3 linked regions of the Styela clava genome follow. The protein of the gene in region 3 interacts with the protein of the main gene of each other region in a pairwise test. Links are inferred from orthologs where the notes say so. Each region holds a gene or a part of one and is shown on either strand. Other genes may lie near its edges. The genes, in order: clathrin heavy chain 1, ras-related protein Rab-6A-like and protein bicaudal D homolog 1-like.

What was found.
Region 1: the proteins of protein bicaudal D homolog 1-like (region 3) and clathrin heavy chain 1 interact in binary tests that used the Drosophila melanogaster proteins (3 or more experiments, as listed by UniProt). The link is inferred for Styela clava from reciprocal best matches to the Drosophila melanogaster genes BicD and Chc.
Region 2: the proteins of protein bicaudal D homolog 1-like (region 3) and ras-related protein Rab-6A-like interact in a two-hybrid assay, tested with the Drosophila melanogaster proteins (3 studies listed by BioGRID). The link is inferred for Styela clava from reciprocal best matches to the Drosophila melanogaster genes BicD and Rab6.

Annotation. Positions count from the first base shown.
Region 1 is NC_135252.1:330,601-341,596, forward strand, and holds the start of clathrin heavy chain 1, read right to left. Parts: upstream 4,648-10,996; 5' UTR 4,536-4,647; coding exon 4,494-4,535; intron 4,297-4,493; coding exon 4,089-4,296; intron 3,985-4,088; coding exon 3,835-3,984; intron 3,749-3,834; coding exon 3,679-3,748; intron 3,405-3,678; coding exon 3,245-3,404; intron 2,715-3,244; coding exon 2,550-2,714; intron 968-2,549; coding exon 794-967; intron 357-793; coding exon 159-356; intron 1-158. UniProt on the Drosophila melanogaster protein: Clathrin is the major protein of the polyhedral coat of coated pits and vesicles.
Region 2 is NC_135256.1:11,595,497-11,607,271, forward strand, and holds the start of ras-related protein Rab-6A-like, read right to left. Parts: upstream 4,581-11,775; 5' UTR 4,523-4,580; coding exon 4,459-4,522; intron 4,135-4,458; coding exon 4,076-4,134; intron 2,705-4,075; coding exon 2,651-2,704; intron 1-2,650. Other genes in the region: ankyrin repeat and MYND domain-containing protein 1-like, read right to left, coding at 7,014-7,146, 7,484-7,751, 8,070-8,224, 8,703-8,792, 9,435-9,597, 11,231-11,351. UniProt on the Drosophila melanogaster protein: Protein transport. Regulator of membrane traffic from the Golgi apparatus towards the endoplasmic reticulum (ER). Mediates membrane trafficking during egg chamber growth and organization, possibly upstream of exocyst component Sec5.
Region 3 is NC_135256.1:9,840,102-9,851,503, forward strand, and holds the start of protein bicaudal D homolog 1-like, read right to left. Parts: upstream 5,228-11,402; 5' UTR 4,800-5,227; coding exon 4,719-4,799; intron 2,969-4,718; coding exon 2,834-2,968; intron 1,310-2,833; coding exon 1,193-1,309; intron 659-1,192; coding exon 563-658; intron 1-562. Other genes in the region: uncharacterized protein LOC120328503, read right to left, coding at 8,856-8,935, 9,323-9,489, 9,790-10,617. UniProt on the Drosophila melanogaster protein: This protein is essential for differentiation. It may play a role in localizing of Nanos (a maternal determinant) activity in oocytes. Functions redundantly with BicDR.

The sequences.
Region 1 (10,996 bases), on a different chromosome or scaffold from region 3:
CGCAATGTTCTAGTAACCATGATGTACTAGAATATTTTTGTTTCCAACTCCATATTCTGCAGTCCTAACATATGTGATTTAACATGGTATAATTTCAACATAACCAATGATCACAAAGGATTGTATAGCTGGCCTACTACTGAATTTCAGTTTATTACCTTTGGTGCATTGGCAGCTACCTTCGCTGCTTCACTGTAATTTCCTTGAGCAAATAAAGTGTTGAATTTCCTAGAGAAAAGTTCTTCTGCTCCAGCTAAATTGTTGCGCACAGCGAATCGAAGTGCGAGATCCGGGTTTTTCAAGGTATTGGTGATGTAAGGAACCACATTCTGATCATCCACTGATACTGTTAATACCTAAGGAGGTGGAATATAAATTGATCCAAATTGATCTAATCATAAACAGTATTTATAATAAACAATTTTGTATGAAATAATTGACAAATAAAAAATTTCAGTCATTTCACACATTAACAAATACGTAATTAGACCGAATATGTTACGCATCTATATGAAGACCTACCGGTATCTATGAAAATTGAAAAATCAACTCTATCATGAAATATGAATTAAATTTCTTCCTGCGGTCCACAGAAAAAAGAGATGATTTTCAAATTATATTATTTGATTCCTATAATGCTTACTAAGGTTCTAACTTTAGGTCTTTGGGAGTTAAAATCTATCAAAGCAAATTTTATAAAGTAATTCTTCGTTGTTTCAACACAGCATTGCAACTTTTCTTGGGTCAAATGAGTGTAAATTACTTTCTCATAAACTAGCATCAATTTTATTACCTGTCCTTTTCTATTAACGCCTATGATTCCACTTGAGGCATCATGAGGAGCAGTTACGAAGATTGTGTCAGCACTTATTCGATTCATGAAAATGCAAACAGCCGTTTCAAGATCATACAGATGAATATAACCATACTTGGTGACAAGGTAGAGAACATTGTGCTTTGGAGAATGCTGTAATTCAATGCTTGGTATAAAATCAGGCACAAGAAGCTTCAAAAACTTAGTGGCAACAAAATTAAACAAACTTTTGATACATCATGTGATATGATAAAGAAGTACATCTGAGCCCTAGGAAATATTATTTCCAATCAAACTTTTAAGAGAATGATAGAAATTCTAAGATTGAAAATTCTGATTGAATAAGTTTCCACAAATTGGGTACAGATACTAAACAATTCCTTCAACCAACTGCTGGATGATAAATCATCGTAGTTATAATTTAAATATCTAGGAATAATTTAACCATTACACACTATTCTAACTATATATTTATTGTTAATAAGGTTACATTGCACTTTCAAAAACCTATAATGGAATTGTGTAAATGTATAGAAAATGAGAATAAAGGAATCAAAATAGGACTACTAACATATTTTTACAATACGGCCATATCTTGTTACGGTAGTTTCAGTAAGGAAGAATATGTTTTCTGATCTAACCGCTCCAGCTGGGGATACCCAATTAATTATTTGATGAAGTTGGAACAAAACTAAACATTCGTTGTGTTGTATGCTGCTGCAGTATGTTGCGAGGTTCGGCCTTATTTTGCTCACCTATGTTGCGAGGTTCGGTCTTATTTTGCTCACCGATGTATTTAGAGTCAAAGGGGGTCTGAATTTAAATAGCCTAGTCGTTTAATAAAATTTTGCTGTGTAGATAATTTTGAACAACTTTAATGCTGTATGTATATATATACATGAGATAAACCATGATAACAAATCATGTAACTTCAACAAATCAGACAATAATGATGATATCCCAGCATCAATGGCAAGTTATGATATGAGCCAAAAACATTGCTTTTAATTTCGTTGCCAATCTCTATTAATGTTTAAAACACGTAACTGAAATAGAAATGAGAGCTAGCTCCATTTTTAATTCAATATTAAAATTAGCACTTTTTTATCAATTAATCACTTTAGATAATAACAGGTTTTAATTATATATTACCTTATCCGTGAGAATATAATTATATATGTTAGTAAAAGTCATATAGCTCTAACACTAAGGTTTGGTAAATCAATAAATAGCTTTAGCAGCCATTCTATTGAACAGGATACAAATAGCTTCAGTTGTGAAGCAACCAGCGCATAAGATCAATATCTCATTAATTTGTGAATGAAGCAGCTGACCAGAAACCAATATTCTGCAAGTGACAAGTGCACTTGTGAGATAGATAGCAAAAAATCACTAAAAATCAATAAATGTTCTGAAGTAGTAAGAAATATTGATTAAATGAAAGTTAGTAAGTTAATAAAACATATGTTGACTTGGTGAAATTCAGTCACCTCGACAAATTTATAAATGGATGAAGCAATATTTCCAATCACTCAGTAAGATGACAAATTCACAAGATTATTAGGCTATTGATCTTTACAGTTTAAAACTTTGTACTGGCAAATTGGAATGCATTAGAAGATGAGTGAAGAATGTACTTGATGCTTAACCAACTAGCAGCCATAGCTTAGTATTATTAAACCTAAATAAACATCTTTCCAGTTGGTTACTTGAAATACTCTTAGATCATACAAACCTGCATGGCGACTGGAAAATCATTAGGAGCTTCGGGTGGGAAGAACACATCCACTGCCTTCTTTGGGAATGGTTGATTACCAGCAGGGGCACTTCCAACTTCAATAGTATGCAACTTGCCACCTTGCGGGGTTCGAATCGCAAAACAAAACAGGGTTGATGGCTCCTAACATGGAAAGAACTTTATTAACAAACGGCTAAGTCGTTTTTCAAAATGTGGTAAATAAGCTTTTAAGATAAAGAAAAAACTGATCGCATTTGAATTATTATACAGAGAGTAAACTACCTTGAATGATATTAAATATAGATCAGTTCATCTTTGATAAAGTCACAATTTTAACTTGGTGAAGATTTTCTCCTACCACTACAGCAGAAAAATTTATCAAAATCCCATAATTCATGATAATTACTACATAACAATATTTAAATAAATATCTTTCAGATTTCAGTACAAATACAAAGTATAAATAGTGCTGAAATCATTGTTAATAATAATGGAGCTGTTTATTACTATTGACTGGTCACACTGCAATTTAATCTGCTATGTTCAACCACGCATAATGATACAACAATCCATTGTGTGATACTCGGCACTGTTCAAAATACAATTATATTTGAACTATGACAAGCAAAAATATTAAAACTTTAAATAATCTTTTAAACTTGATCGACAAACTCGCTCTAGATAAGTGTTACCTTGTTTCCTTCTAGCTGATAGTCCGCAAAAGTTGCCGCATGAGCCTCGATAGGCTGACTCACTCTTCGTTCGACAGAATACAACTGAGAGGCACCAATTACCCGGTTCGCATGAGCAGAAATCCCAATCAGAAGAAGCCATTTTTGTTTAGAGTCAGTCCTAACATAACAAATTAATTATAAATTTTATTATTGTAACTACGTATCTATTGAATAATAGTTTACAAGTTTAAAAATCTTTTTTATAGAATTCGAAAACCCAAGAAAACAGTCACCAATATGGATGTTTTTGCTGAATAACATTTTTATACCTTTCAAAAAAGTCACAAATAGCCGTAAGAGAGTACACATCGGTTTTTGAATAGAGAGGTAACCAGTAATTGTAAAAAATGAATTATATTGTGGTATGAATACAGTCAGAACAGTAACTTTACCTATAATTGATGATTTGACAACTAGCAAGCGAAGCATGACGATCAAACATTTTCGTAGGTTGCGAATCACCTGTCATTCAGAAACATATATAGGCATTTATTAATAAATAATTCATAATTCAATATTGCCCATAATGAGATGCATGAAGCTTGTACCTTCCATACTCCAATGATAGACAGCGCCCTCTGTGACAAGTGCTACCATGTTGGTGGAAATCCATTTCCAGAAAACAACGTCTTCTGTCATGTTATGAGCTTTCATTTTTGACTTCATTTCAATATTGAAAATTTGGAGCATACGACCAGCTGAAAATTAAGATTGGTTTTAAGATAACAGGAACAGACTTAAAAAAAATTTACACTAAACTGAATAATAAAATTGAATATCAAGTTTTCTGATTATACTATACCTTTAAGGGCGATAACTTTGCTAGCTGGATTCATAATTGCTGAATCAGCAGATATCGGTCTACGAATCGGATTAGCAGAGTCAGCTAAATCGATGATAACAACTTGAGCTTGTTCACCAACTTTCTCTCTTACACAAATATACTTATCAGACTCCATGGTGAGAGTGGAAAAACCAATGTTAGCTGCATTGATGCCAACATTTTGGAGCTGAAAAAAATAAAAGTAGTCATTCATAAGCCTTTACTAGCTTTAAAAGGACAAAATTTTATCTCCTAAACACAATACAGCAGAGTTTACAATAATTTTGGTGGATGTTACAACACTCAAGTGAAGTTAGTGCTTACTTCCATATAGAAGCTGATAATTTAGACAATAAAATTTCAATTGTAATAACAGTTACACACCTGCAGATGCTCTTGAAATTTGATTGGCAAAAGCTGCGCCATCTTGCTCACAAGAATCCAGAATTCACAAAAACTAACCAACTAATAATATTCTGATTATCAAAAAACTTTATCAAACACCTGGATGAATTAAAAATTTTCTTTTTTATACAAATTGAATTGTGAGTGGTTTATTCATGTAATATTTTGAATCAAGTCATCTAAATTGTGAGGCTATGACTACAGTGCCATGATACCACTTGACATATTAACTCCCTTTTTAAATACAAGCATAACTGAATTCAATTTTATTCTCCAAAAACTGTGCATGACAGTACAGCACAGTTCTCCAATTTCGGGAAAATCCCCCATATTAAAAAGTCTGGGCCTTCTTATCGGCAAACCGACAACACACAATAAACGAAAAGAAGTACAATCTACAAACGTCACCATTGGATTTATCAAAGGGAAATAATTTATCTGTGGAATTTGTAGTAAAAAAAAGCTATTTTGGTTACACAACAGCCAATGCATGTCACGATAGATTTGAATTAATATGGAAACAAGCATCATGCGATGTGACCATACGAATGCCATCGTTTAAGAAGCAAATCAAGTGTTTGTTTTATTGAACCAAATGTCGGGACATCTTGGAATTGGAGAACTGTGCCCTACTGCATTAGGTTGAGCAAAGTGAAAATACAGAAATAATTGTCACACAAAATGCACAAATATTGTTATGGAAGAAGATCTGTTTGGGAATTAGTAACCCAATACAGCAATAGTTTAAAAAAGATGGACAAGATCAGGTATTCTCATTAAAAATTATATTTAAAAATAGATGAACATTGGTGCGACTATCTCGCAGACATTCCTGCATTTAGACATTAGTCTATAATCCCAACTACGCGATTTAGTACCTCAGTTAATGATAAGTGAAAAATATGAACAAGGGTACGGCGTACCTGTACTGTATACTATTGAAAAAATCATCCCATTACAGCCCCTGAACAACACGCAAGACACATTTTCTGGCACTACACCCGAGGCAAAATTCCTTCTCGAACCGGCGCTTTTGGTGACGTCACACAAGTATGGAAAAAATCCTAATCAATATGGCAGATGAAAAATGCGATTTACAGCAAGATGTTGCATTTGTATCACAAGAATAATACCGTCTTCATTCATTATGTTTCAATCAATATTTTCTGACTGCCATCATTGAGAGCACAAAAATGTAACGAAAAACGAAACCTGAAAGTAAGTAAGGTTAAGTTGGTGGCGCTGTTTGGTGAGTCATAACATTTGACATCACGGTCTCGTGACCACGGAAGTCAGAAAAATCAGCCTCAGCCGTTGAGTGTGAGTCTCCTTTTTCGTTTGTGTTTCGCATCTATTTCATTGCGTTTATTTTATGAATATAGAAGCTGGTAGATTTTCTTGGTGAATTAATCAGACGTATTTATTTTATTGTTCCTGTTACACATTTTGCTTGTTTGCATCAAATACATAACAAACATACATACAAAAACATACAAACTAAGGTACCGCCGTATGATCGGTGTATATATACCACATACCACCAAGTGGAAAGACGGGAAAGAAATGGATTTTTCCTACCTTGACACTTTGAGTCCCAGGGAGGAATGAGAGCGAGAAGAAGATAAGCACATGTCAAACTCGCGTGTGGTTTTGAAATAGCTCCTTACTCCTTCATTACCAATACCCACTCGATCACAAGTTTCGATTGAAATGAAAACTATTATTTTAAATTACCCTGCACAGTTGTAATGTGGTAAGAAATTTTTAGATGCAGTTGGCCAGATTGTTAATGCGGTGATCATTATGCTTTCTTCTGGTAATACTGCAGTAGGCATACTGTGCGCGCGTGCTGATACATGATGCATTTATGTGAATTGATTTATGATGACATTCGGGTCTCGACCTATCTTGGAGAAAAAAAGCGTGTCATTCTCTTAACATTTTGTACTGTTATCTTACTATCAAAATATCCGGTACCCCGAGACCTACGCCACTTTGCTGAAAACGACGTCTTGAATTCTGGGAGAATTTGCTCAGGGGCTCTTGCTAACATACAGAAAGAACAAAATTGAGGAGATAATACAGACACGATAAAAAGTATTTAAGTAACTATAAGTCAACCATTGTTTTCATGAATACCCGCATTCCGATGTCAGTGAAGATAATATTGTTCGCCCAATATTCGGACGGTTAATTCACAAACAACCTGCGATAATACTAAGGGGGTCACGTAGAAGAGGGAGGGTGGCGGTCCTATGCGGAAGCGCCGGATTCCTGGTGCGTCAGAAGACCACATAAACATCAGGGCTGCCACTTTTGCCTGACTAAAAACATCTAGTTTGACCTAAAAAAACATCTAAAAGCATCTAGATTGAAAAATGAAACATTCAAAAAATATATCTGAATATGTAGTTATTAAATGTAATAAAAATGTCGCTACAGTTGCTTCAGAGCGACAAGGTAGTAACATTGCTTGCTTAGTACATTCAAAGAGATCTGAAAATGAAATCCCCTCCCAAATCAAGCGGCATTTTTAAAATCCTTAACTTGAGCCCAAAACTGCTCTATTTCTGTGTTATTGTTCCACTTTCTGACTTTACAAGATTAGTGTGTTGTAGGAGAGAGTGGGGTAGGTTGGGACACTTTTTTTCTTTTGCCTATTTCGAGCCCTATATTCTGCACATTCATTTCAGTTTGCGGGGCTAATGTAGATAGGGGTAAATGTAGTATTTATTCATCGACTAAAAAATTCCCTAGCAATACACATCTTTTGACTAAAATGCTCCAAAAAACGTCTGTCAAGTGTCCCACTGTACCACACTCGTGGGGCACATTCGGACAGGCCCTGGGGCACCTTCAAAAAAAAAAGAACGATGCTGTAATTTTGAAAATAAAATCACCATTTATATATTAACAAGTAAAAATTCTAATTCCGGCCAAAAGCAAATTATTTACTTTTTCGAATCTGTATCTGAAAAATATTTTTGAATCTAGAATATATATATATTTCATATAGGGCCATAGGACAAATGGCACCATAATATTACACAAAAAATAACGCATCTCTAGGCGTATAAGCACTTAATGGATCAAACAAAACCAATTTCATCCCATAACTTGCGTCGCTCTACACGGCCGTTGTCCGTTTGCGGGGACGTTGTAAATCACGGAAGAGCGATTCAAACATCGCACCGCAGGCCTGATTCCGTATATAGTATGAGTGTGAGAGCTGATTTTCCACTGTGCCCCGTGGCCCACCTTACCCTATCTGACCTGCCAATAATGCTTTTAAAGATAGCTATGTTTTATGAGTCCAAGGGTGCTAAGCACTACTACTTACAAGTATTCGATTCTCCTTCGATTCCACGACATGTTACCGAGAAAACCTATAGGCAATACCATATGATATCGAATCCCTCAGAACCCACAGATAATTTAGAAATAAATAAACGTAAAACACTCCTAGCAAAATATATATATATATAGTGAAGTTTGCGGCGTCGTAGCTACTCAACATAGTTTGCAATCCAATCGAGAATCGATTCCAGTGCATCGGAATTGATTCTAGTCGATAGTGGTAGCTAGTCGTGTGGTATCGCAGTGTGAACAAAAACTGATGGTGAGTACTATTTATCAATTTCATATTCCCTTGAATTCTTTGGGAGTAGCTACCTTAGTCGATGAAATCAATGCCAGAACTCCATTTTTGTTTGACAATGATATCACATTGCTCTCAATCAATTCTACAATCAGCTTTCATGATGGCGGTTCATGTAATATCTCTAGTCCAGTGGTTCTCAAACTTATTTGTATTGCGACGCTCTTCCATAAAACATGCTCAAGTTGCGATTCCCCGTGAAAAACGACTAATACAATTTAATTAATAAAAGACCTCTTTGGCAATGACAAAACGTAACGAAAGTTATTGAAATCGCATTTAATTTAGGGTATGAGTGTGTTTCCTTCTTTTATATAAATGCCATTGAATCTTGTGGTGCATTGTGAAAGATCCGCACGCATTTTTCTTTCAACATTTTACACTAGATCGATTCGTCTTAATTGCGGCCATACAGCTAAATTGAAACGACGCACTTGTGCGTCGCGTCGCCCACTACTAATTTTTGGAAACACAACTGAAAACTGTCTAATAACACGCAAAACCACGAAATCGAGGCAATGTTAACATCTCTGATTGAATATCTGTCTGAACGGATGCACAAATTGCATTTGTTACGTGCTTATTGGTCTTTGATTGTTATGGAAATAAACAAGTTAGTAATTTATAGCCGAATTTTAACCGAAAGAACAATAATATATATATATATATATATCTAGAAAGAGGATTTGAAATGGAAGCACAGTAGGAGAATGTGAAAAAAATATTAATACTGTTAAAATAATTCAAGTAATACAATAATATATAACTGGGAATCCTATATCGTCACACTAATAAAAAAAATTGCCTGAGTCACTATTTGTCGATTTTGGTATCGCTGGATTCGTTGCGGAAATATCTATCTTTCTATGTTATTTAAACACAGGTAGCCAATGCATATTCTAGTCTGGCAAGAACTTACAACATAGATATAGAGCAAAAATTTTTGGTGGCTGGACATACACAAATGGAATATTGCACAGCGTCATTGAACGAAAGATCGTAGGCGACATTTTTTCTGAAAGAGATTTGATCGTACTTATGGAATCCGCAAGAATCCATCCATCACCCTATCATGTTCGCCAAATGAGGCACACTGATTTCAAAATAATGAATCAATTGTTCCTTCAAAGTATTAGACCCGGAAAAAGAGTAGGAGATCCCAGAGTGCATGATTTGCGTGCCCTGAAGTACGAAAGTGATGGTATAGTATTCGTTACAAGCTTTCGTTTGAGAAAGCAATTTGGAAAGCGCTACCACACCGTGTACAGAATGTTCAAAGTCAATGGGTGCCAATGTTCAGATCTCGTATTCCAGTTTGTGCAAGGAAATTTAATGATCTTCAAGAAATGAAATCAATTATGCCAATTGACTGTCATCATTTTTATGACAACCTTCCTCACGAGTGGATTATACGAACTTAAATGAAGTATACTACTATAAATTCATGATTACAGTTGTTTGTTTATGTTGATGTTTTAGGTTCAAAAAAGTTATTTATGTTTTAATTCTATTATATTGTTTGTTGTTTGAGTTGTGAAATTTTACATTCTTTGTATCAATTGAATACAATACATCTGGCCTGTGGGCTGACATCTATTCTAATGTTCATCAAAGCCAAATTATGATTTAGGAGGAATATCGAATTTTTGACTTGGCTTTCGTGTCATATTAATTTAATGGAAGTCACTCTCTCATTATTTGCCGAATGGACTTTTACAAAGTATATAGGTCAAGCGAATGTACAGAGAAAATATAGGGCGAAGATGTGAATAATATTGCCTAACTCTGGGTGCGGGAATAAAAAAATGCCTAAGTCAATTTTAGCGCATATAGAATAGAATTTGGAAGTTATAGATATCCTAAAATAATTAAAAAGTTGATAAGATAAATCTAGATAAAAAAAAATTTGAAATAGATTGAAAAATGGGAAAGTTATGAAGTTTTTTTTGATTTACTCAAAATGTTAAAATTTGACTTAGGCAATTTTTTTATTAGTCTGACGATATATATAAACCTACATATATTTAATTTTTTTTATATACTTCTCTTGCTTGAAATTGATTTATGCAACTACTTTACACGCTGACTTTGTGTAATCGATCTAGCATCAATTATTTGTTAACAAGATATCAAAACATCATGAAAAATATGGCAAATACAAAACAAAAAAGGCTGACTTCAACAGGACAGGAGTCGCGAGAGACTTCGAAAGGGTTTCAAGAAGCGACACCTACAGCGCTGTAACAGTATTTCTTAACCTGGGTTCGATCGAAATGTTCCTGGGGTTCGACGAAAGTCATCTTAATTAAACGTTTGTATATCATAAAGTATTCCCATTATCCGGCCTATTAACTATGTAAAATAACTTTACTTCACAGCAGATATTCAAACTTCAACTCATAGAATAGCTCAACTTAGCGGGGTATAGTTTCAGCTTTCGGAACTCCGAAGTTACATTTTTTGCCATTTTCCCATTTCTACGCACACAATTTATACGACATAAAACATCTTTCTGCTAACAAGTCCCATCCGCCGACGCCATTGTGGCACAACAATGGGTATTTCGACAGAGTGTATTGATATTTAAAGTTATACCGCACTGATCACGGTGGTTGCTAGTTTCGATCGGTGGTTGATTGCCAATTCGATCCTAAGATTTGTGTTCACGGAGTAAATCACGGACCTCATTACATCAAATGGTTTACAGCAGGGGTGAGCAAACTGCGGCCCGTAGAGAAAAATTGTGCAGCCCGCGGAGAAGTGCCAATTTTAAAGGATGTGCCCGCGAAAAGAGCTTTTAGTTTGATTATCGAAACGTGCGAGC
Region 2 (11,775 bases), about 1.8 Mb from region 3:
AATATTTGGGGATCAGGAGATGTAATTCTGAGTTTTGTAAGACAAAAAACTTAAAAAATGCGAAAGCGATAAAAAATTCAAGTCCGTCGGATTCAATAGTGATGACTCACTCGCTGGTGATTTTAGTAGCTAATCAATAAATGAGCCTACAAAGTTATAGATAAAAGAAGGCAGCATAAAAGTACCAATCAATAAATGGATTCTAGAATGTATCCTACCCCATTGGGGATATTCCCAATCAAATCAATATCATTGTTTGTTTTCATACTAAATAAGATAATTTAATATACTATACACTTCACTTTAATATACTTAGCTATAGCTAATATCATTTTTTACCTAGTTACAAAAATAAAGTAACCTGCAGTGTTTAAGAACTAAGAAGATTGATGGGTCCCGTAAAGTGCTTTATATGATCTAATATAGTGTTTTTTAAGAGGCTTGGGAATTTAGTCCAGTAAAACATGTATATGATCTAATACAGTGTTTCTCAACGTATGGGGCGCGACCCGAAATTTGGTCGCTTTGTTTTTCAACAAAATCAGCTTTACTAAAACCACGCCACGATTTCAAAAACTCGCTTACAGCAAAAAAGCTCAGCTTTATTACTTCGAGTAAATTTTCGGAAAAATGAATACTAGGTATGTATTGTTTATTTTTTTTTTCATATTAGTATATTAATTTCGTGAGCATAAAAGACATAAACATTACATACCGCCTAGTATTTGAGCATATTCTTGGGTAGCGGGATTTTACAAATTCATTTTTTTTTAAATATGGGTCGCTTGAAAAAAAGATCGGGAACCACTGTTCTAATATAACATATTTTATATGCTTTTGTCAAGTGTTGTTAAATGATTAAAAATCTTGCAATCTACAATGAGTGTAGAAATTTCCCACTTGCAATAATCCATCATTCTTCGGAAATGTTTGGACTTGTACATCGGTATGAATGATTAAGAAATAAGGCCATGAAATATAAATGAGGAAATGCTTTACACTGGTGTTTTCAAATATCGGTTGGTATGAGGTCATCGTCGATAAATACATCAAAGAACTGAATAAGGTTTTTATCGGAAAAAAGTTAACGTTGGTAAAAATATTATATTTGAAAAGTTACATATATGTATTATCAAATACTGAAATTGTGTAGCTAGGCCTATGTAATTGTCATGTTTTAAATTATTATGAATTTCCTATATATTGACATGTACGGCCTGATTCCCTATCAGAATAAAACCAAAATAGAAAAAAACAATGGCCATATCAATATGCATTTCAAGATAGTATCCACTTTTTTCAGATATTTGATTATAGACCAACCATCCAGACAGGCTCTATTAATAAATTAACAATTCTGAGTAATTATCCTATAAGTTTTAGATATCGTATATCCTTACATTTAAATTGTTCCAAAATGAGGTTTCTTGTTCTGAGGGGACGTCAAAAAAAGAAAATTGTGTCATAATTCATACAAGTCAACAAAGAGAGCAATAAGCATATGCTGCCACAATGTATTGACGTTCTTTGTTGCATGTGCATGAGACGGTTTTCACAGACTTTTGAATTATTCATAGCAAGTCCGTCTGGTAGGAATTTCTAGGCTATTAAGTTGACTGTGCATTCGTTCAATTACCGAGTCTAAAAACGCCCAGACAGATATCGAAATATTGAACATGACCTACGAACGTCTAGTCTATCTTTTCCTCTGGGAAGACAAAACGTCGAAAATACAATAAAGTCAATTTCCAGTTATTTGATTACATATTATCAGGCTCCATATTAAAACAAAAACACTCCATTTTTACTAACAGTATTTTCACCATTAGACTTCATTTTACCAAAGTTGAGAATAACCAAAACACAAACAATGTCAATTTATAAAAGGTAGGCAGAATTTTGTTCTTGTAATATTTGTCAAGAATGAGTAACACCGAGATATCACTGTATACGAATTCCTTTTCTTTCACAAATGTGATTATTACTGATATGGCAAGCTAAAATTTGTAACGAAGAAAATTCAAACCAACTACCAAACAACTTTTCAAAATAGGCATCTCTATTACATGGTTGGATTGGTTAGAGAAAATTTCTAATATTTATTTTAGGTATAGAGATAAGACTCATTTTAGGTATGTCTTTCATATGACCTGGAGAAAATCTAAAGTCACTAACAGGATTTTAGATATTATAACGGATGACAGTTGCTAGCTGTTCTGAGTTTGTATTGAAAACCACATTCCTAAAATTTGTGTATTTTTATATATCTATATCTTCTATATATACCAATCAATAAACACTTTGGTAATGTTACTTAGACGTAAAGCAACATCTTTCCTATACAAAAAATCTACCAGTTCAGGAAGACTGATGTGATTGATGGCACCATGTCTAGACTTGTATGTTTGAGTAAGATTTGAATCACCCTCATCCTTATTGCACAATAGGTATAATTTTTTTGTATGGCCGTTGATATTTATAACCTAATGTTATTCTGTGTAACAGCATGCTATATCTAAACAATTTGAGAACTTTAAATAGGCTGATTCTCCTTTTTTAATCTTCATTGGAATTATTTCAACAAAAAAGACCCTTCAATAAAAATATTTTGCCTAATTTACGATTCTAAATGCTGAATGTAGGTTCTTACCGTTCGGTCTTCCAAATACATTGTTTTTGAAAGAAAATCAATTCCTATTGTGGCCTGCAACAAAATAAGTTTTGAATTCAGACAAAAGTCAGAAGTGAAAGTGGTAAAAAAGACTACTGCGATCTCTACATAAAAATTGATTTTATTCAAGACAGCGGTCTTAGTGCCTAACATACATGCAAATCAGACAAAACAAAGATACAACGTGTATGAGCCAAACATTACAGGGAATTCCATTTTCATGTGACGGTTTGTTTTACTCGCTTTAGATTCCCATGGGTGAATTATGATTTAGACTTTGATGATCTACAATTATCCAGTATTAAAAAACAACACAGTTGTACAAAACATCTTTATTTAATTTATCAAGATAAAACTTGAGGAAGCCAAAAATTGAACCTATTTGAAGACAGACGTATAAAAAATTATGCCATGTCCAAAGCCTGCTACATTTTTTAATTTGTAGGCCAGTTGAAATACTGATCAATTTTTTGCGATTCTAGCAAATCAGATAGAAAGATGATGGGAGAGTGGGCCATACAGTATTGTTCTCATGCATGAAGCTAACAAATATTGTACCTTAGACTTGGTCAAGCAATGATGCCCATGAAAGCGTTAAAATAAAACACGAAAAGCAGCATAAGTTAACAGAAAAGAGTAACTAAATTGATATTGAAAATAAAATTTTAGCACTGTAGTGTTAACACACTAAGACCGCAAACAAATCAAGATTTACCACTATTTATCAGTTATTGGAGTAATGAGCAAAATCTTATTAGACTCCAGAAAGCAATCTGACAAAAAATATTGTTTGAAAATTCATAAAATATAATAATATTATTCACAATATGCTACAATTTCCAGAACCAATGGTGCTAGAAGATTTTCAGGCCTGATTATCATCATTTTATATTCAAGTTATTGTCAACTCCTTATGTGTAACGAAAATAAATCACGTGCTCAATACATTTTTTAAAACTGAAAATCTATTCAATAGTGAAGAAGTTCATTGCGAAAGTGAAGAGAAATCGTGAAAAGAATTTCCCTACTCATCGCCAATCCTCGATTTTCCTCATGAATATAATAATTTTTTTAAGAGAAAGTAAATCTTAAAAATGATGAATTCTGAATATTCAACTTTTGACATCCAATACAATAGAAAATGCATCTACTATCTTTTCAAAACTTTTTTCATAGGTATATCCCGCCATTAATGAATACTTTTTATAATAAAAAACTATTCAACAATTCGTCGAGGCAAAAATTTGAGGCATCTACTGTTAGTTATGATTGTTAACGCCCAAGTTGACAGTAAATGTTCATCATACTATCACCAGACTCACCACCCAGCACCATTGGTCTCAATCAGCTGAGATTACATTTATAAGAATTACCGGTACAATTTTTTTTTACAACAATAATCACCTGATACGTGTTATCAAAACTGTCATACATAAATCTTGTAATAAGCGATGTTTTCCCCACTGTAAAATTAATAATATAAGATTAGTATGCAAAATAACATTATTTTGTCATAATCCTAGTAATAATCCAAAAGAACTACCTAGCTTTAATTTAAACTTTTGCATAAAAAATAAACACAAATAAAGTACATCAAAGATAAAGGATATGATGAAAAGTTGAAAAAAACTACAAATCTAATAAATGAGAAAAAACGGGATTTCATTTTTAAGCCATAAATAATGAATATTCTTATTTAGTAGTAACACATTAATTAGAGTGATTTTATGACATTTTAAAAATATTTTATAATGTGACAAAACTCTTATCAGAAATAACACACTCACCACTTTGTTCACCCAGGAACACTAACTTAAATTTCCGTAACGGATTCCCAAAATCGCTCGTCATTTTAATATTAAATAGATAATAAACTTTAATTATATTAATAAGACTCTGTCATACGAAGAATTTAAAAGAATTTTATCGTGAATTTATCGGTATAAACATTTGAAGGTAACTTATAATTGTGCTATAGAAAATTCTCAAGTTTATACTATATTAAATAGTATGGTAGATTATTTGGCTTTGGCATCTATTGATGAAACAAATTCATTGCCCATAAGTTGCAGAATAATAAGTGGTTACCGGTGATTAGAATGACAATGTTATACTGAAAGTTGCAACTAGTTTCTATCAAATTTGCTGAAAGAACAACAATCAAGACAGATAATAGATTTGTGTAGCAACACATTTTATGTAATTTATATATAAAAGAATGCTTAGTATGTTCGTGAAGATAAATAAGAAGAAAACTGACAAAAGTGAATCCCAAATTAACGCTTGTCAAAAGACAACTGACAAACTTTAAACTTGACCGATTCAAAATGATCTTATCTGGGAAAAAGTGTTGAGAAAACGTGTTACAGCAGGAGGAATCAATTTCCAGTTTAGATAGAATGGGTAACAACCTCATTCTCATAACATCCTAACCAAGACTGGCAATAAAACGAGAGTTGATCTGCCCTATGATACATTGTAATATCGCAGTATTGTACATCTTTCACCAATAAATATGAAAATCCTATCCCTTTAATTAAAAGAGATACAAGCAATTGAGTAGCTTCCCCAGATTCTTGAGAACTTTCCACTTGAGGTTGACAAAAAATGAAGACGAGAAATCATGAAACTCAACACCCATAGTACAGTACAGCAGTAGTAATACAGAGTTTACAGGTCTACGGTGGTACCGATAAGTTACGGTACGTGTAATGTGTAGTCATATACCCATTACCCAGGTACACATACAAACCATACCAGAGCACATGTTCCTACTATTGACTATATATCATATTTGGTCTCACAAATTATCAATTTACAACGAAATAATTATCAAAAAGCACATGATTCACGTTCGAACAAAGTACAAAATCTGAATTCCAATGCATCCGTAGCCGCGATTACGTCACCACCTGGCGTAATTTTTGCTGATGCGAAAAGATTATGATGGCCGTCTCTCAAGCGTGACTATTTTTTTCAAGATTTTTCATCAGAAGTCGCAAAAAATTGCATTGGGTCAGTCCTTCTTGGTGGGGAACACAATTTAAATACATTTGCAATGCCATTTAGAAGTTAAACGCCAACGCACGATACAAGCGCACTTTGGTAATCTAGCTAACTCCATCAGTGTTCAGAATACAGTGGCATTTATTCGTTTTGTTGGTCTTCCTCTGGGCTAAAACGATACTACTAGTTATTGTGTTAATTGCAATGCGTTATACCAATGATATTAAGCAACATGATGCGCAACTCCGGCATTTTTAGCCGAAGATTGTATCCGATAGCACGCTCCAATGCACATACTTGACGAGACGAAAACGAGCGGATGTGTGCTGCTTTCAAGGCATAGCACGAATGGTGTTCGTGCCTGCTTTGACAGTTGTTTAATGTCGTTGGTTATATAGATGCGAATTCCCGTCCAACTGGTTTTTATAAAAGAATAGGCAGTTCAATGAATAACTACGATTATATTTTCTCTGTAAAAATGTACATAAAAATTCTAAATGTCGCAAAACTAAACAAGCAACAGATTTATGCAGATAAATATACATTAAATTAAAACTATTAATTGCAAGTACAAATGTGTTGGATGCATAAAAAGTATGCTTTGGCATCTAATGAAGCGAAGTTGAATAAATTCTTATACAAAAACATTTGTTAAAAACTAGAATAAAGCAATAATATTGGAACTTCAATACGAAAATATAACAATATCAAGAGAAACGACAGCAATCTATTTTTACTTTGGAAAAGGCCGAGTTTTTGAATAAAGACCAAAATAATTCTTGAAAAGATTAATTACTGTAAAATTCTATAAATTTGATACGCTTTTACAAAATTGTTTGGTTCTCCCATCAACATTAAATATTGTCATGGAATTTGATTTACAACTACAGTGGTGTCTGTCTTGGACTATTGCATTTGTTCATGTTCAAGTATCATTATTTATTTTTAAAGTAGGGACGCACTAAAGCATAATGCAAGCAACAGATGAGATGCTATGAGTTAAGCAACAAACTAAAATATAGGAGCCTCAATTGTCGTTGCTATTGTGCAATTTTATAACAAAACTGATATAAAGAAAACCCAACGGATTTTTTAAAATCCAAAATGTTGTGAACAATGTAAGAATGTGTCACCAACTACATATCTTGTGAAACACAGTCATCAAGGCAAATATGGTTAGATGTGGCACCTCCTTCACCAAACTAACTCTTTTATTTATGAGACGATGAAACACTCAAAATGTAATGATCCTCCTACAGTTATACAGTAAATCAATTATTAATATTGAATATCAAATTGACAACAAACAAAATAGCCAACACCATTGTGATGTCACTCATTCAAAGCTGTAGTTCTCTTTAATTCCAAGTTCAGCCAACGTCATTCCTGTTGTTCCAAAATAAACTGCTTTTCCAACTTTTGACTGCAGAATCTCTCCCACATGAGCCCTGCGACTCGGCAGTAATGATCTGTGTAATATAATTACAGTTGAATACGGATGAAAAATAAGTGATTTGAGACATTATGGTATATTCAATATATATATTCAGTGACTGACAAAAAGTAACATCTTTGAAGTTACTGATTCTGGAAGCTTTCGATAAAATTAAATTGGTAAAGATAAAATGTGCGGTTATGAATGTAGAAACGTCCGTTTCCAAAGTATAATATGTTTATTCAGCCATATTTGTCTTTTCCTACACTTTAGGCTGCACTTCATATAATATACAAAAAAAATTTGGCAGTGAATACAATGAATAATAACAATCAAAGATGATGTTATCATTTCACATAATCATTACATACTTTCCAGTTGAAGGCTGGAGAACACTTGTGGATCGTGATGAAGCAGTCTTCTTCCTTGGCTTTCCTTTCGTTTTACCAAATTTGAGATGACTTGAAGTAGTTCTACCAGATTTAGATCTTGGCATGAACTCCGTGTTAGTGACTATGTTTTTGGGTAATATTTTCATGCTGTTGCTTGTTGGGTCATTTTCAATTGCTTCTTTCAAAGTGTGAATTGTAAAATAAGAAGCAATTTCATTTGCAGATGGGGAGGACTGTTCTCTCTTATCTGAAAATAAAAGGGTGTAATGTGAAGACTGGAAAAAAAATATATTAATCAGTTTTCAAACAAGTTAACGACTCGAGGGTGTGGCGCATCGTGCTAAGCGTTAGGCGTATCACCGCACCTCTGTTTACCCTGCATTGGTTCGAATCCCATGCGGGATGGTTATGTGCAAGAGGATTGCTGGATTTCTCGGCGCTGTATGGTTAAGCCGCCTTATCGCCTTTCTTCCTCGGGATAAATATGTATATCCTATCCTAAACAACAAATCTATCAAGGATCGAAACTATATTATTAAGAAAAAAATTGCAACATGTCACATACTTTTTATACGAAGACATTCAGCCTTGTGTCGTTCTTCCCAGGCTTTTAGTTTACAGGATCTACTGCAATAATAAACTTCACGACATCTAGAACATGTTGTCAAACGCACACCAACAGATCGACCACATTCATAACAATAACGAAAAAGGGGTTTTCTGAAAAGGATTGAAATTGAATCAAGCATTGAATTTTACAAATTGGGTAGAAAGGGTCTATTCTCCTATGCCAAATATAAATCAGCCAACATTGTCTTTGTCCAAATTTTTCAATTCCTTTTTTACTCATTGCAAAAAATGAAAAAGTATTTCTGAATTATTGTAGATTCATTTAGAACCTTGTTGTTTTGTCATAACATGGATTGTGGGGAATGAGTATAATCAACCAATACTCAATTTGCAAAGAATTGTTGAAATTTCTATTTTCAAAAGTATTATAAAAAGTATGTTGTTTATCCTACGGTAATTAATCAGATAAAATTATTTAAAAAAAAAGATCGTATCCGCCCAATTGAAGAGATGTCCAAATGCCTCATTCCTATATATTGTAAAGTTTCAAATTTTATTGCACTAATGATCAACTACAGCCTGCGAATCGAATGAAAAATGACAACAAAGAACAGAGATACAATCTCACCTAATCGGACCTGAACCTGACCTTCCTTTAATTGATTTTTTTACAGGTTTAACTTGCTTATCTGGTTGAGAAAAAATGGTTGATGAAATCCTAAAAAAAACAGCAAATGTTAATAGACAGATCGAACAGCTAGAAATTAGGAACACACACACAATCCCAACACCAAATCCAATTCGTTTTCTACAGTTAAACATGAAATCACATCTTATTAATTGACAATGACAGATGAATAAGTTCCTATATTTTAATCATTGATAATTTTATAAATAAATAAACAAGTTGGACACAAAACAAATTTGAGTGAAAACTTGGGTTCAATGTGGTCAACATATCTATAGTATTCATTTGATCATTGCCAGAGCAGTATGAATTTCTTGAATTAGTGATATTGTCCAACTCTTGGAAATGTGTCAATCTTATGCTCAGCCGTAAACTAAAATTCAAAAAAACTAGTGGATAGTGATCAGAACTAGGAAAATCAGGCCTTCAGGTCTCTACGACCAAGTTATAGTTGACTTCTTCGACTAAGTGTAGTCAGATAGAATTTGAGAGATTTCACATATTTCTTGAATCCAAGACTCGAAAACAAAAATATTCTAATACCTTATTTAGCTTTGAATGAGACATGGTGTCTTGCTCTAGTGGTTATAAACTTTGAATACTGAGAACAAAGTTGCAAGTCCAAAATGAGACAAAAAAATTCCCTTCTCTTTTTTATATTTATGTACTTACTTTGAATCAGGTCTATCTTCAGGCGATATAGGAGTTGGGAAGCTCACATGGCTTGCTGAAACTGGATCTGTATGGTATTGTTGGGGGCTTGAAGGAAGGGCAGCTTCTGACTTGGCCCCAGCGCCAGTGTACAGAAAGCGTTCTTCTCGGCTCGGACTCAGACCTTGAGAAATTTGCATTTACATGGTAAAAGGTCAGAATAAAATATTACATTGTTAATGACACAAGATATAACAAACAAAATCTAAAGAAGACTGAAATATGTTCGACAATCATTACATACAGGTAAAAATGCAAGAATTTAAACAGCAATCTTCAATCGTCAATTGTATCCTGTGAAAAAGTTCCCAAATACTACACTCGACAATATTTTTAATAAGTACTAATTGTATATTCTGTACTACCATAGTGTTTGTGTTAGTCAAGTGAATATACCCCCTGCCTATAGGTTTCAGTCCCTTTACACACCTTGATATAAAGTAGGCAAACAAAACTAGTTACCTCCATATTGGTACACACACTTCTGAAGCACCTTTATTCCATATACTAACTGTAGTTCAGATATCTAACTGTCTTTACAACCTGACCTATGTATAATACAATTTTGGCAAAACCTGGTATATAAATATTGTTTCTAAATTCAATATAACTCCTCTCAGAATGTCTCGCTACTCACTCATCTTGTACTCGAAAGTCTAGATCAGAAACACTCTCCTCAACATCATCAGTTACTTTATATTTTTGCAACTTGAGCTTCATAGTATCCTGTTGATCTATGTCTTGCCATAATTTTTGTAAAATTACTTTCGCTAAATAACAAGAAACAACAAATTCAATCAAAGTAACCTATTATTTATTATGCTTCTGTCAATTTGAATACCAAAGTGAAGAAAGCAGACTAAATTATTGACTTGTCTACTCATAATGACGAGTTGCTCTCAAATTTTAAAAATCGGAATTAGTGGCTTTCAACCTGTTGGTAATAGCGCTGAGGACAGTTTTTCTGTGTCTCAAACATAGAATGATCAACGTCTTAAAGTAAAAATTTAAAGATGACCTGTTTTATACCATCTGCAATCTGTACAAAAGTATGCAATCTGTACAAAAGTATGCAATCTGTACAAAAGAACTAGCAGGTATTCATTTTTTCATCCTAATAATAAAGGACTGCAAACCACTTTTCTGAATCTGATCATCCAACCTATGGTAACTTCAAAATACAAATTGCTAAGATCATTATTTTGACCAAATTAATATACCGTATTGTGCAAATGGAATGATACCACCTTTGGTAGTTAGAATTCCTCTCGTACAGGTTAAAACATGCAAGTGGTGTGAAACACTTTCAACTGCTATATTAAATAGTGAACATGGATGGTTTTTCAGTCATAGGAATGAGAAAAAAATTCAATAATCAAAGAACATCAAGGAAACTAGTTTGTAAGTGCTAACTCGCAAAAACACTCTAACCTGATAGAGCCACTTTCAGACTGCACTAGTTAAAAACATGCTATTTATCAATTTCTATTTTCAATGTAATTAAGGCACGGTAGCCCTGTGGTCAAAGCAACAGACTTAAACATTGAGGAATCGCTGGTTAAAATCTCAGATTCAAATCCCATGTTCACCACATCACCCAGAGTGTATTAAATTGGGTAGGCGATGTCGAACTGGAAAGATTCATGTCCTACTATTGTAGCTCCTTATTTGGTAGTGGTTGGTTGTACGAAGCCTTGTTTGGAGTGGATGATGTATAAAAACATTATATATATAAAGAAATGCAAATAGAAGCCTACTTCGAACACCAAATTTTGTTTCTTGTTTTAATTTGTCTCTTTCCACTTTGACTGCAGCTTCTCTTAGAAGATTTCCAAAATGTGCAAGGAGTCTTTTTCTTGCATTGTAAGTATCTCTCTCCTGGTAAAATTAATATTCAACAACTTGTTAAGCAAGACAGCAAAAATAAATATACAAATTTAATTCAATTACCAAGATTAACCAACTGGTTGGAGGAAAAAGCAAGTGGTGTAGTTGAAACGTAGATGCGGTTTCCTGTGGCAGGGTTAAGGATAGGATAAAATTCAAATATATATATCTCGGGAAGAGGAAAGCGATAAGATAGCTTAATCATATTGCAAACCACAGCTTCTCATCCGGTTACCAGTCCATGTCGGGTATGGGATTAGTTAGCCTTTTCTTTGTTTTCAGAACATGTACTTGCATATAATTTACGGTAAGTAAGTGTTTAAAAATAGATGTTCAAAAAATGTAGGAGTTTCTTTTTTTAAAAGTTTAGAAATTGTCTCAAATTTGATTGCCCAAGAGAGTCAATGAAAAACAG
Region 3 (11,402 bases):
CAAAAAACTTCTGAGTTAGGATACAATTCCAGTTTGAGGTTCGAGGCATATAGTACTATACAAAATAAGAGAGCAATGCTCAAATACATGCACACGAGAGTTCAATGATGAAACCAATGAAACATGCGATTTACACATAAGTTCGTTATCTGATCATAAAAAAGATTCAAATTTAAATCGATAATTAATTCCTCCGCTGCAGTAATTAACGTCATTAACGGTAACGTTAAGACCACTAAGGCCATCCATTAGTACAGGTAAGGGTTTGGAATCCAAAACTTGCTTTGTAGAAAAGATTGGCGGACAAGATGGAGGTGGTTCAAGCATGATCATACAAAATTGTGCATGATGTGATACTTTTTTTTATTAAGTAACGTAAAATGGCAGAATTGAATCAGGGTGCCATGGTTTTGACACCTTACCTTTGGTAGAAAAATTCAAGAAAGTCTGACAATATTCAACTGCCAGTTTAATTTTACATAAAATGTCCATAGATGCGCATGCGCTATATATTTACTATTATAAGGATTATATTAAAGCTGTGAAGAGGAAAAATTCTCACCGTTGCAAGTTCACCGTTCGTTGCAGATAATCCATCAACTTCTGCTGACACATTCTTCAAGGTTTGTTTCGTTTGAATCAACTCAGATTCAAGATCCTATATAGTAAATCAATATCAATTTTAGAAGCTATTACAAAATTTTGACTTTTAAAAATACAAATATATATATATGATATATATTCATTTTATTTGTCTCAAAACGTAATGAGCATTTGTAAATTAACTATTTTTGTTTGCCTACTTTACATCAAGTTGTGTACAGGGACTGAAACCTATGGGCAGGGGGTATATTCACTTGACTAAAACAGACAGTCCCCGAACTCGTTATAGAACTAAAATAAGAAAAATTGGAATAAAATTATGGCCTAACCCTAACCTGGTACACACACTTCGAGAGTACCACAGAAAATATATATCACAGAGTCAAAAATGCAGGAATAAGCCATCATTATATTGGCAGTCTACGGTCTTTTATTTTTAAATCATTGTAGACCTAATAAAAACATTTACAGTACTGAGATGAACAATAAAACAATTGCTTGAGATGTGAATCCATAGTGGACAAGAACTCTAAGAACTAAAGACTAGTACTAAGAGTCAGTTATAACTTTTATAGTAAAGAATAAACACCTGTATTGTGGAAATCAGAGTTTCTTCTGTTTGTTCTTTTTGTTGTAATAATGTTTGTTCGCGAGTTTCGCCATCATGAAATACTCTTTTATTTTGATGTTGGCTGTTTTCAAGAGCCTAATAAAAAATAAATATCTATTCTATTGAATTATGAAGATCTATCATCATATTGTCAAATTTTCATTTAGCTGTTGACAATGTCAAAAGGATATCTGGTAAATTAGATACTTTGCCAGGGCCAAAACAAGAGAAACTCGATACGAATAAAATTAGAATATGACTAAGACCCCCATGGGATTAGAATATGACAAATAGTCCTTATTTCCCCCATAATGCAATTATTAATAGTTATAAGTTAGTAGTAGGCCTACTAGAAATATTTCATTCACCAGATACAGAGTTCCATATTTTCTACAGTATACTATGGCCACGGTGATTTGAAGTTTAAAATAACTGAATGAAGCTTTTAGATCAAATAGAATATTTTTAAAACAAGAAGTTAATATTTTTTAATCAAAATTATTTACAAAACTTCATTGCAATATATGATTTGTCCCCTTTTTACCCAATGTCATATTAAGCATTTAGGATAGAATAAGATTCCCATATTTATCCCAGGGGAGAGGAAATCTTGTGGGATTCGAACTTGTGAACCCACGCAGGGTAATCAGAGGTGCGGTAGCCTCTATTCCTAACACTTAGCATAATGCGCCACAACGCCATTTCATGAGAATTATTTAGAAACATTGGCAAGTTCAAAAATATGGATTTTAAAAGTTTATAGACTATCAAAAAATTATAAATAAACATTTGATTTGATTTAATAAATTTAGGGAAAAAGAAACGATGTATAGCTCAACTTCAGGAAATTGTTGATTTCAAATTACTTCAATACTCGGGTCACAGAGATCAAAATGTAATGGGGACTTGATACAAACTTAAATTTTGAGAGTAAGCTTAATTAAAAAATAGAATGCAGGACTTATTTATGCTACACAAATTTGCTGCACTTATATGCGACATAAATAAATACTGATTGAATGTTTTACATTCCTAAACTTCCAAATAAAAAATTCCATCATAAATACTGTCAAAAAGAAAGATACAGTATATCCTATATAAGTGAACCTGAAAATGCCTTCTGACAAACTTGAATGAATCTTTGAAGGTGTTACAAAAAGACTAAAAATGTCCCACTAGATAGTATACGGCCCAAACTAATAGTATAATTGAATTGCATTGATATATTCAATAGCGTTTAATACTACTTGATTAAAGGCATAAGTTGGAATTGGCTCAATCTGTAAGCTTCTGATTTTGATCAACAAAATTGACAACAAAATTAGGCCCATGTTATATTCAAAAATATTTGTAGAACAGACTTAAAATTTATATATATTCTTCATTTCATAATGTCAGAATTGGTATTGCAAAATAATTTCATAATGTAAAAATTGATAAAGCAAGTTCTAACAATGTTTCACTGCATAAAAACTATTTCTGAATTAAAAAAGTACAAAGCATAGTTTTAAAAACAGACAATTGATTCCTAACTCAAAAAGTTGAAAACGTAATTACTGTATTAGTATGTTTTTTCATTAATATAAAATTCAAAAGTAGTCTACTTATGATAGTTCATACCCGTTTGCTGAGTTCAAATTCATTCTTTGATGCATCAAGTTCTCTCTGAGTAGAATCTAACATAACCTCTAATTCATCGTATCTTTGTTGTAGTTTTTGCTTCTCATCGAGGACTTGTAATCCATATTCAGCCGCCTGAAATATTAAAAATAAGAATTCAAGCAAATAAAACTTAAAAATAAACAATACTCCAATACAGAGTTATCAATCTGTGGTTTCTTAATATGGCTTTATTTTAAAATATTACTTCACCGTAGTTATGTTCATATCTCAAGTTTTTATTTTGTGAATATTTGCTTCGCAAACCTTTAAAGTTCAATAAAGTTTTTTTTATCTGAAGCATATCTGATTAGGATTCGAAAACCATGGAGTAAGTGCAAGAGCCTAGCCCAGTATATCTTCACAGAAATGAACTAGTCAATTTTGAAAAAGCAGGATAGTGTGGCAATGGTAAACAGTACAATGTAAATACAGAAATGGAGTGTTGTGAAATTAAAATATTGTCAATGATATGTTAATAAAATCTGAAATTCTACGGTTATAGGGCTCCAGGAATGATGATGAGTTTATATATATTTCCTCGCAAAAAACATATACAAAACAAAAATAATGAACAACCACAAGATTGGGAAATCGGGGTAACTAGCAAAACCTGCAATAGGTTTAAAACACATAGTAATATTTGCGCCAGTTTGGCCGCATTGTACACACAAACATTTATTGAAAAAAAATATGAATAAACACGGTGGGTCACAATTCACGACTGTTTACTTTGAAGTGGATTGGACTGTGTTTGGGATTTGGGACACCAGCCACATTCGAAGCAAACCGACAATTTGATTGAGGTAAACAACTGCCAAGTAGTGTGTGAGGTGAAAACGGTGTCAGAGATAAAAGACTGTTTGTTTTATTGAATCAAATGTCGGGACATCTTCAGAACTTGGAATCGAAAAAATACTGGCAGTACGGCACACTATACAAATTGGGTGATATTGTCCCGTCCCAGAGAAACCCATTTTACAGATGATCAGACACCCCTCCTTTGGGAGACATCTGGACATTGTTGTCCCTCAATATCGGTAATAATACAGTGCAATAAAATTGCGCAAAATACTACAAAAAAATGCAATCTAATATCGTCATCATTGAATTTCTTGGAAAAAAATCAACCAATTTACCGAAATTTTTTTTACCGTATCATTCGAGAGTTTTTAGCAAAAAACGGCAATTTTGGTCATGTGACGGCCGCGATAAATTAAGATTATTATTGAGACAAGCATGGCGCGATATGAAGCATCTGACATGGTCCAGACGCCCCTCGTTTGTGAGATACATAGAGTGTTTGTTTTATCTAACCAAATGGAGGGAAATTCTTGGAATTTGGATAGTGTGCTGTACTGACTGGTGTAAGAGGTAGGTAATAGAGTTTAGTAAAAATGCCAGACCATTTATCGATACTTATTTCTTGGTGTGACAACTCGTCAGCATGATTCCTACAACAATGTCAAGTCATAGTTCGAAAGTGGTCTGTGATATTCGAATCATATTCTTCTGTTGTCCATCATTTCCACGTTTACCGTAGGATGTTAACTGTTTCTAATTTTTATATTTCATTTGTTTCCAAGTCTGCATATCCACTAACCATTAGATTAGAAATGTGGAATATGCAGATAGGCCTATGCGAATAATTTAAATACATATTCAAATTCTTGATCAAAAAACTAAATTATTCGGTTGGAATTGACTAATCAATAACGCAGGATGATGTAAAAATCCCGCAATTTTTTTTTCAATTCTTTGTACAGTTGCCAACAGTACAGCAGTACAGTTGATCAAACATAATACTGTACGGTAATCCCAGAATCAGATATAAAAATAAACCTACCTGAATTTTTTCTTGTTGTGCTTCTTCTAAATCATGTGTGAGTCTATCGATGATAAGTTGGACATCATCTGATAAATCCATGTTCTACTCGTTCATACAATACAGCAATATGCTACAAGAATAGCTGAGTACCGGTAGCATGTGCAGCTAAAACTGGGAAGCATTAATCCAGTAGCGGTACCGGTATTCGTTATTGAATTGTCTTGACTGGCGCAGTCGTCTTTCGAGAAGGCTAAAACCCAGTTGGATTGCGTGACGGTATCTCACATCTGAGAGGCATTTGCTGACAAATTTCGCGCTCAAAGGGGACAAAAATAGCGCCCAACTCGAACCCTATTTCCCAATAACACAGTAATACGGTAGTTTTCTTTGCAAAATCCCGTCTCCAAAAGATTCAGCGGCCAAAAGTATGAATCAAATTGATGATTTTGACGAGTCTGTAATAAGATATCCGGTTAAATCTGATTCAGTTAAAATTTCTTCGTTATGATGGAGACAGATCACAAAGGCTCGACTTGAATAATTAAATATAAGATTTGTTTTCAAAACATTATGAAGATTTATCGACTAACGCATTACCTATTTGTACTTTTATTTGAAAATGAGACGGCGAGGAGAACCACTAAAGTTGATACATTCACTGACTGCTCAAAACTGACTCGAATTTCAAAACACAGGAAGAGAGAGAGTTTAGGTTTAGGATTCACATATTTATCCCGGGCGGCGGAGGAAGCCGATTAGACGATTTAATCATCAGCGGCAAGGAGTCCATCAATTCTCTCGCATATAATTATCCCCCTCGAGATACCGCCATACCGCCGAGTATTCTTCGAGTATTTTTGCAACTGGGTTCTTGTATAAATATTGCAATTAAATCATTTTGTGTTTTGCCTTATCATCTTTAAGATATTCTGTCAGCTTATACTTTTTTCTTTAAAGTACATTAATTAAGCACAAGATATTTAAATATTTTAATTGTCTGTTAAATTTGCTTATTTTCCATTCAAAATAATTCTCACGTTCACTAGCACACTGCGTGTTTTTAACATCGGAGAACAGGCAGTGCGTGTTTAATATTCTGTTTTTGACGGTAATATTAGAACCTATGAAATTATACAATAGAAAATGTAGCAAGTCGTTTGGAAATATATCGCCAAATAATCTTTACAAAATGATGCAAATACTTTCAAGCTTTATGTTGTCCTGACCTATACAGACTGAATGGCTCAGAAAATGTGTACAATTTTCCTGTTTTTCGCTTTTATTCATGCCCAACACTATTATGTTGATGACGTGCATTACAATGCCTTTATTGTAGTCAGTTTCAGTCAAGATAAATAATTGTGCTATATCATGCCCGTGTTTTGAAATATAATTGCACAGGCATTTGTATGTTGAGTAGATTAGTTAATAGTAGGCTTACCATAAATCTGAAACAAAAAACCGGGACGGTGCGATTTGGCAAACATTCGGTCGATTGCCAGTCTTGATAATATTGGAACGTCTACCATGCCATTGCGGGTATATACGGCTGTAAATCTCTACTGATCATTGAATTAGAAAAAACACAAAAAATTAGTTTGTATTATTCATTTAGACCAAAAGTATTTGTCCGCAGATGGAACCTTTCTCAAAAATTCTTGTTTTGATTTTGTCATAAAACTGATAACAAGAGACATCACCATTAAATTTGCAGGTTACGGAGTGGTTTTATATTTTCTTCTGGCATTCTGCACCTGCTTTCGGACCAAAATTTTTTAACAATGGAAAATATCCTTTTAACAGATGTTCCGAAAAACAAAATCAACCAATTTGCTGCAAATTCGAAATGCTAATATTTCTGTTAAAAAAAACGTTAAACATCTCTGTCTACTTAATTTCAACCGGCAAAGTAAGTCAAATTGCATTTGAACCACGCTCAGATAAATATCTCTTTATCAGTATTCGTCGAAAAGTGCATCGCTATTCAAAACCTGATCAGCTAACCAATCATATCATTTATCAATTTTGCAGACCAAACACAAACAGTCCAGTTTATTTCACTCTTCAAATTTGTCCATATGTGTGGCCTGGCAGCATTGTAGGCTTCATCGTGCAGCTCTATATACGATAGACATTTCTTTTAAAAATCGCAAACATTCTTTTTAAATACAAATTTTTTCCCTGCAAATTTAGCTTCACCTCTGACAGAATATTTGCAACATCTACGGCAGGGGTCGGCAACCTTTTGTCGCCCGAGGGCCAAAATTAAGGGTTGCGAGTCATTGGCGGGCCGCACATATTTTTAGAAAGTTGAAACTGAACGGATGATACTTTTTATATTAAAAATCATGCAGTGATACATCTCTCGAATAGAATATAGATTTATTTCCTCATTGCATCTCAAAAAATTCCATTTGAATATTTTCAGCTTGAACCCTTTGCACTTAGCTTCAACTTTTCTGCGTTTTGTTGCCATTCGAGCTTGAAGTAAATCATCATTAAATTCAGAGGAGAACAGCGGAGCAATGCACCAACTCTCATTTATTTCTGGCTAAACGTGCAAAATCAGCGAATCCGCTTATCAGACAGCGGACATCAAAAATTCTAACTGTGTATATTTGTTAATGCAAATTTAGCCCCAAAAAAATTTGAAATTAATTTAGAGGTGCAGTCAAAACTTTGGTCATGAATAGCAGTGTGATAGGTAAATGTCGGCTGCCAACGACACAGAATCATCCTAATATTTGTTATCGCAAAATTGGTCAGTCGAGTCGATGCCTCAATGTTTTGTGCTTCCTGCTTTGGATATGATTGTTGACATCTGAATGTCCGCCATGACTAATAGAAAAACAAATCTGCAATGCGTACAGTGTACCTTTCCTCCTTTAGTTTGCTTCAAATAAGGAAAATCTTTCTTCAACTCATCAGAAAACTTGTACTTTCTTTTTGGCATTTCGACAACTTAACGACATTGCAGTTAACGCCAGAAAACGCATTAAAACATATGCTAATTGTGACATAACAATAGAGCGATTTCTCTCTCTGAACTAGCAAAGTGTGTCGCAAAACAGTGGTAAATGGGCTGTCACCGTTAAAAAAAAAATTTGTAATAATAATGAATTTGAATTTTTTACCCATGAAAACCGTGCTGACAAACCGGGACATTTGAGTCAACCGGCCGGGACAGCATGTCAAATCCGGGACTGTCCCGGCTAAACCGGGACGTATGGTAAGCCTAGTTAATAGTGGTAAATAACCAATCTTAAGGTTTTGTTTCTCGGTTTCAACTTTGTCATAAGTGTGCAAACAAACATGTCTGCTTATTCCAATAAGTTCGAATTTGAACTTCTTCTCAGTGTTTGCCAGTTTGCTATTTAGGTGTTTAGATTTGAACCATATTTATTTAATATTGTGTTTGTGTAGATTCTACACTACACTATATAGACTTTAGGGCACTCCCGAAGTATGTGCACCGAGATGGCGCACAACCTGAACCCTAACCTGGTAAACAAACTATGTTCAGGATGTGCGCCATCTTGGTGCAGTCAGATATTTTTGATCAGAGAATCATACATTGCTCAAAATAGGGATATTTTGAGATAAGTAAGCTGTAAAGAACTATGGTACAACCAAACACAACCTCTATAATCATTTCAAACCGAATAGGTTAAAAAGAATGAGAGAGAGAGATAATGATTTATATCATTAAAGTACACAGTGTGCTCTCACCTATCAAACTGAATCACCACTTCGAAGTAGCCTAGTTCAATCAGGCTTCGCGCAACGCTAAAAAAGGGGAAATCGCACAAATCGACCCAAGAAAAAAACTTTTTAAAGTTTGAACGCCACTGGCATCTGAACTCTCTTACACTGTATTTCCTATCCACATAAATAAATTCAATAATTCTGCTATCATCTGAGGTTATCCTAAAACTCTTCCGTTGCCATATAACTTACCCCAAATTCCCAACCAAACACTCGATATAAATAAAAATTCCTTTTTTTGCCAAAACGAAGTGCTATGAAAATGTGCATTAGTAGTTAGTACATCAAGTGCCAAAAACGATGACCCGTAATACTGACATAGATAAAACAAAAAGTTATAGGTTTTACTCTTCATAAAACAAAGTAATAGGTCAACCACATCAGACGAGATCAGTCTGGTTCGGCCTTTCCACAGCACGCCATTTTCGTAAGAAAACCTTTCTTTGGCTTCTTTGGGGAATCTTCGTCTCCTGGAAAAATATAAAACAAATGAAAGCATCTACCATGACGCTTGTCCCGCAAAATTAGTCGAAAAGTTACGTCTCGTCATTCTCAAACGTGCTTCTGTAACGTATTTTTATTACAGTAAACCAGTTCTATAGTTCAATGGACAATATTCATTTAAAAGTAACATGCTATTTGCATATTTTACTTCGCATATTATTGATGATAATACGTCATTTTGTGTGGAATTTGAGTCGATCAATAGAAATAATGGTCTCAATGAAGTGACATTTTGTAAAAAGTTATATTGAGCTCGTAAATATTAAACAAGGGTAATTTGTTGGTCCCGATAAAACTGAACTCATTATTCGTACAATTAGAATATCGGAAAAATTCAATCCAAAGGGATTTACCTATTTTTTCTTTTTTACTTGAAACTGATTGGTCGTCGCCATTTTGGAGATCAGGAGATGGTTTTTTATCCTTTCCATTTTTCTGTTCTTGTGTATCAGAATCTGGTTTTTGATCTTCGTTTTGTTGAGTTTGGGGTACTGGAGGAGCTTTGCTCTTTTTAGATTTTCTGAGATATTAATCAAAACTTTCATAAAACCAAATGCGAGATTCTGGCTATCCAATTGTTAGCAGAAAAAATAAATCTGGGTTTTATTTCTAAGAGGCATGGTTATTATCGCATTTACATATTAACTGGCTATGCTGTATATATATAAGCTTTGTATCAATTTTGTTCCTAGCAAAAGTAGCCTCTACCAGATCGCGTGAAATTATCCATGGGCGTATTTATTTATAATACGTTACGATTACCGCGAAAAATGTTTTAGCTCGACATAACAAAGGAAAATAGTCTGAATACTACACTTACTTCTTTTCCTTTTTGTCGCTCTTCTCCTGCTTCTTCGCCTCTTTCTTTTTCTTTTTTTCATCCTTTGTTTGTTTTTTGTCTTTTTTCTTACCAGGGTCTTGTTCTGTTAGTTGTTGACCCGCAGCATCGTTTGCCGTCAAGTCGGTATCTTTTCTCTCACCATCTGGCCTGTTTCCGTCACCAGGTTCCTCAATGATTTGAAGGTCAACTCGCATTTCTTCTTTCGGATTTTCTAATTTATCAAAAACGTCATCAGGCGATTCGTCGTCTATCGGTTTGGTGATTTTAATCGGTTCAATGGGATCTTCAACTGTTTGTTGATCTTGTGTCGGTTCCGTTGCTTGAACTTCGATTCCATCTTGCGTTTCTTCGCCGGTCATGCAAACACCCGTTTCCGCAAAAGTAGCAGTTGTCGCCTCGATAGCTCCATCATCTGGATTGCTGGGTTTGTCTTCAACTTCGCACAACTCTCCAATTGCCAATGCATTGAAGGCACGGATATGTTTTGTATCAGGCGCTTTGCTGGGAACAACTTCTTCTTCTGGCGCCCGATGCAACGTCGTATAATAACTGAGTTTGGTTGGCGTTAAGGGGTGAGCTTCAAAATGTGGATAACTAGATGTATCAAAGACAATTTCCTCTTGTTTATCTGGAGAACTTCCTTCTGCTACTCGCCAGGTCGTTACAACGCCCGGTTCGGATTTTCCAGTTGCTATGTCATTAAGAGGATCTTCACTTAAGTGAAAACAGTAATTTTTACCGTTGTTATTTTCCCAATACTCTTTTCCTTCCAATGAGCCCGATAATGCAAATTCAACGTTGACTGGCCTGAAATAAGAGATGGAAAATAATTTTCATAAACACAAAAGAATTTAGGCTGCATCGGTTAGGTGAAAGCAAAACTAAAGACTTACTATACTTGTGCATGAAGAAATTAAGCTAATATGTTGGAATACTATATTTAGTTATAACATCATAACATTGTAAATACGATTACGCTATCTTGACTGCTGATTTAGTTTTATAACATTTCTTTGATGTAGATTGTTCAGATTGACATGAGCTTTGAACTACTAGAACGACCTCATAAATTCTTAATCTTGATGTGACAAATCTATATGCATACACAACTATTATGTAGCTTCCATTAGATACATATATTTTATTGCTTGGTGTTGAGAGAGACATTTAAATGTTAAAATAAAAAGGCACATAAGTACCATGTGTTTTCAAAGTCAAACGAGAAAACTGACGACATTTTCATCTTTTTATAACAGATACTGCTTTATCACCCGATGGCGTTATAATCCATTTTTTCTAAATTTCCATTTCGCCTTCAGTGTTAATAAATACATATATAAACTTCCGACGAAACGTAAAAGGGTAGAAATGCCATTATCTTTGTCAAAAAAAAACACTGACATTAGTTTAGGTATTTGGATAATCGATATACTGTATATTGAAGTTATAACAGCTCGAGGTATATTATAGACATCACTGCATATAAAAATACAATGAGAACGAGAGAAAAACCGGCTAAAGGCAAGCTTAATACTACATGGCCCACCACAAAGCTACCAGCTTCAGAGCTATATATAGCCACACTACAGCCA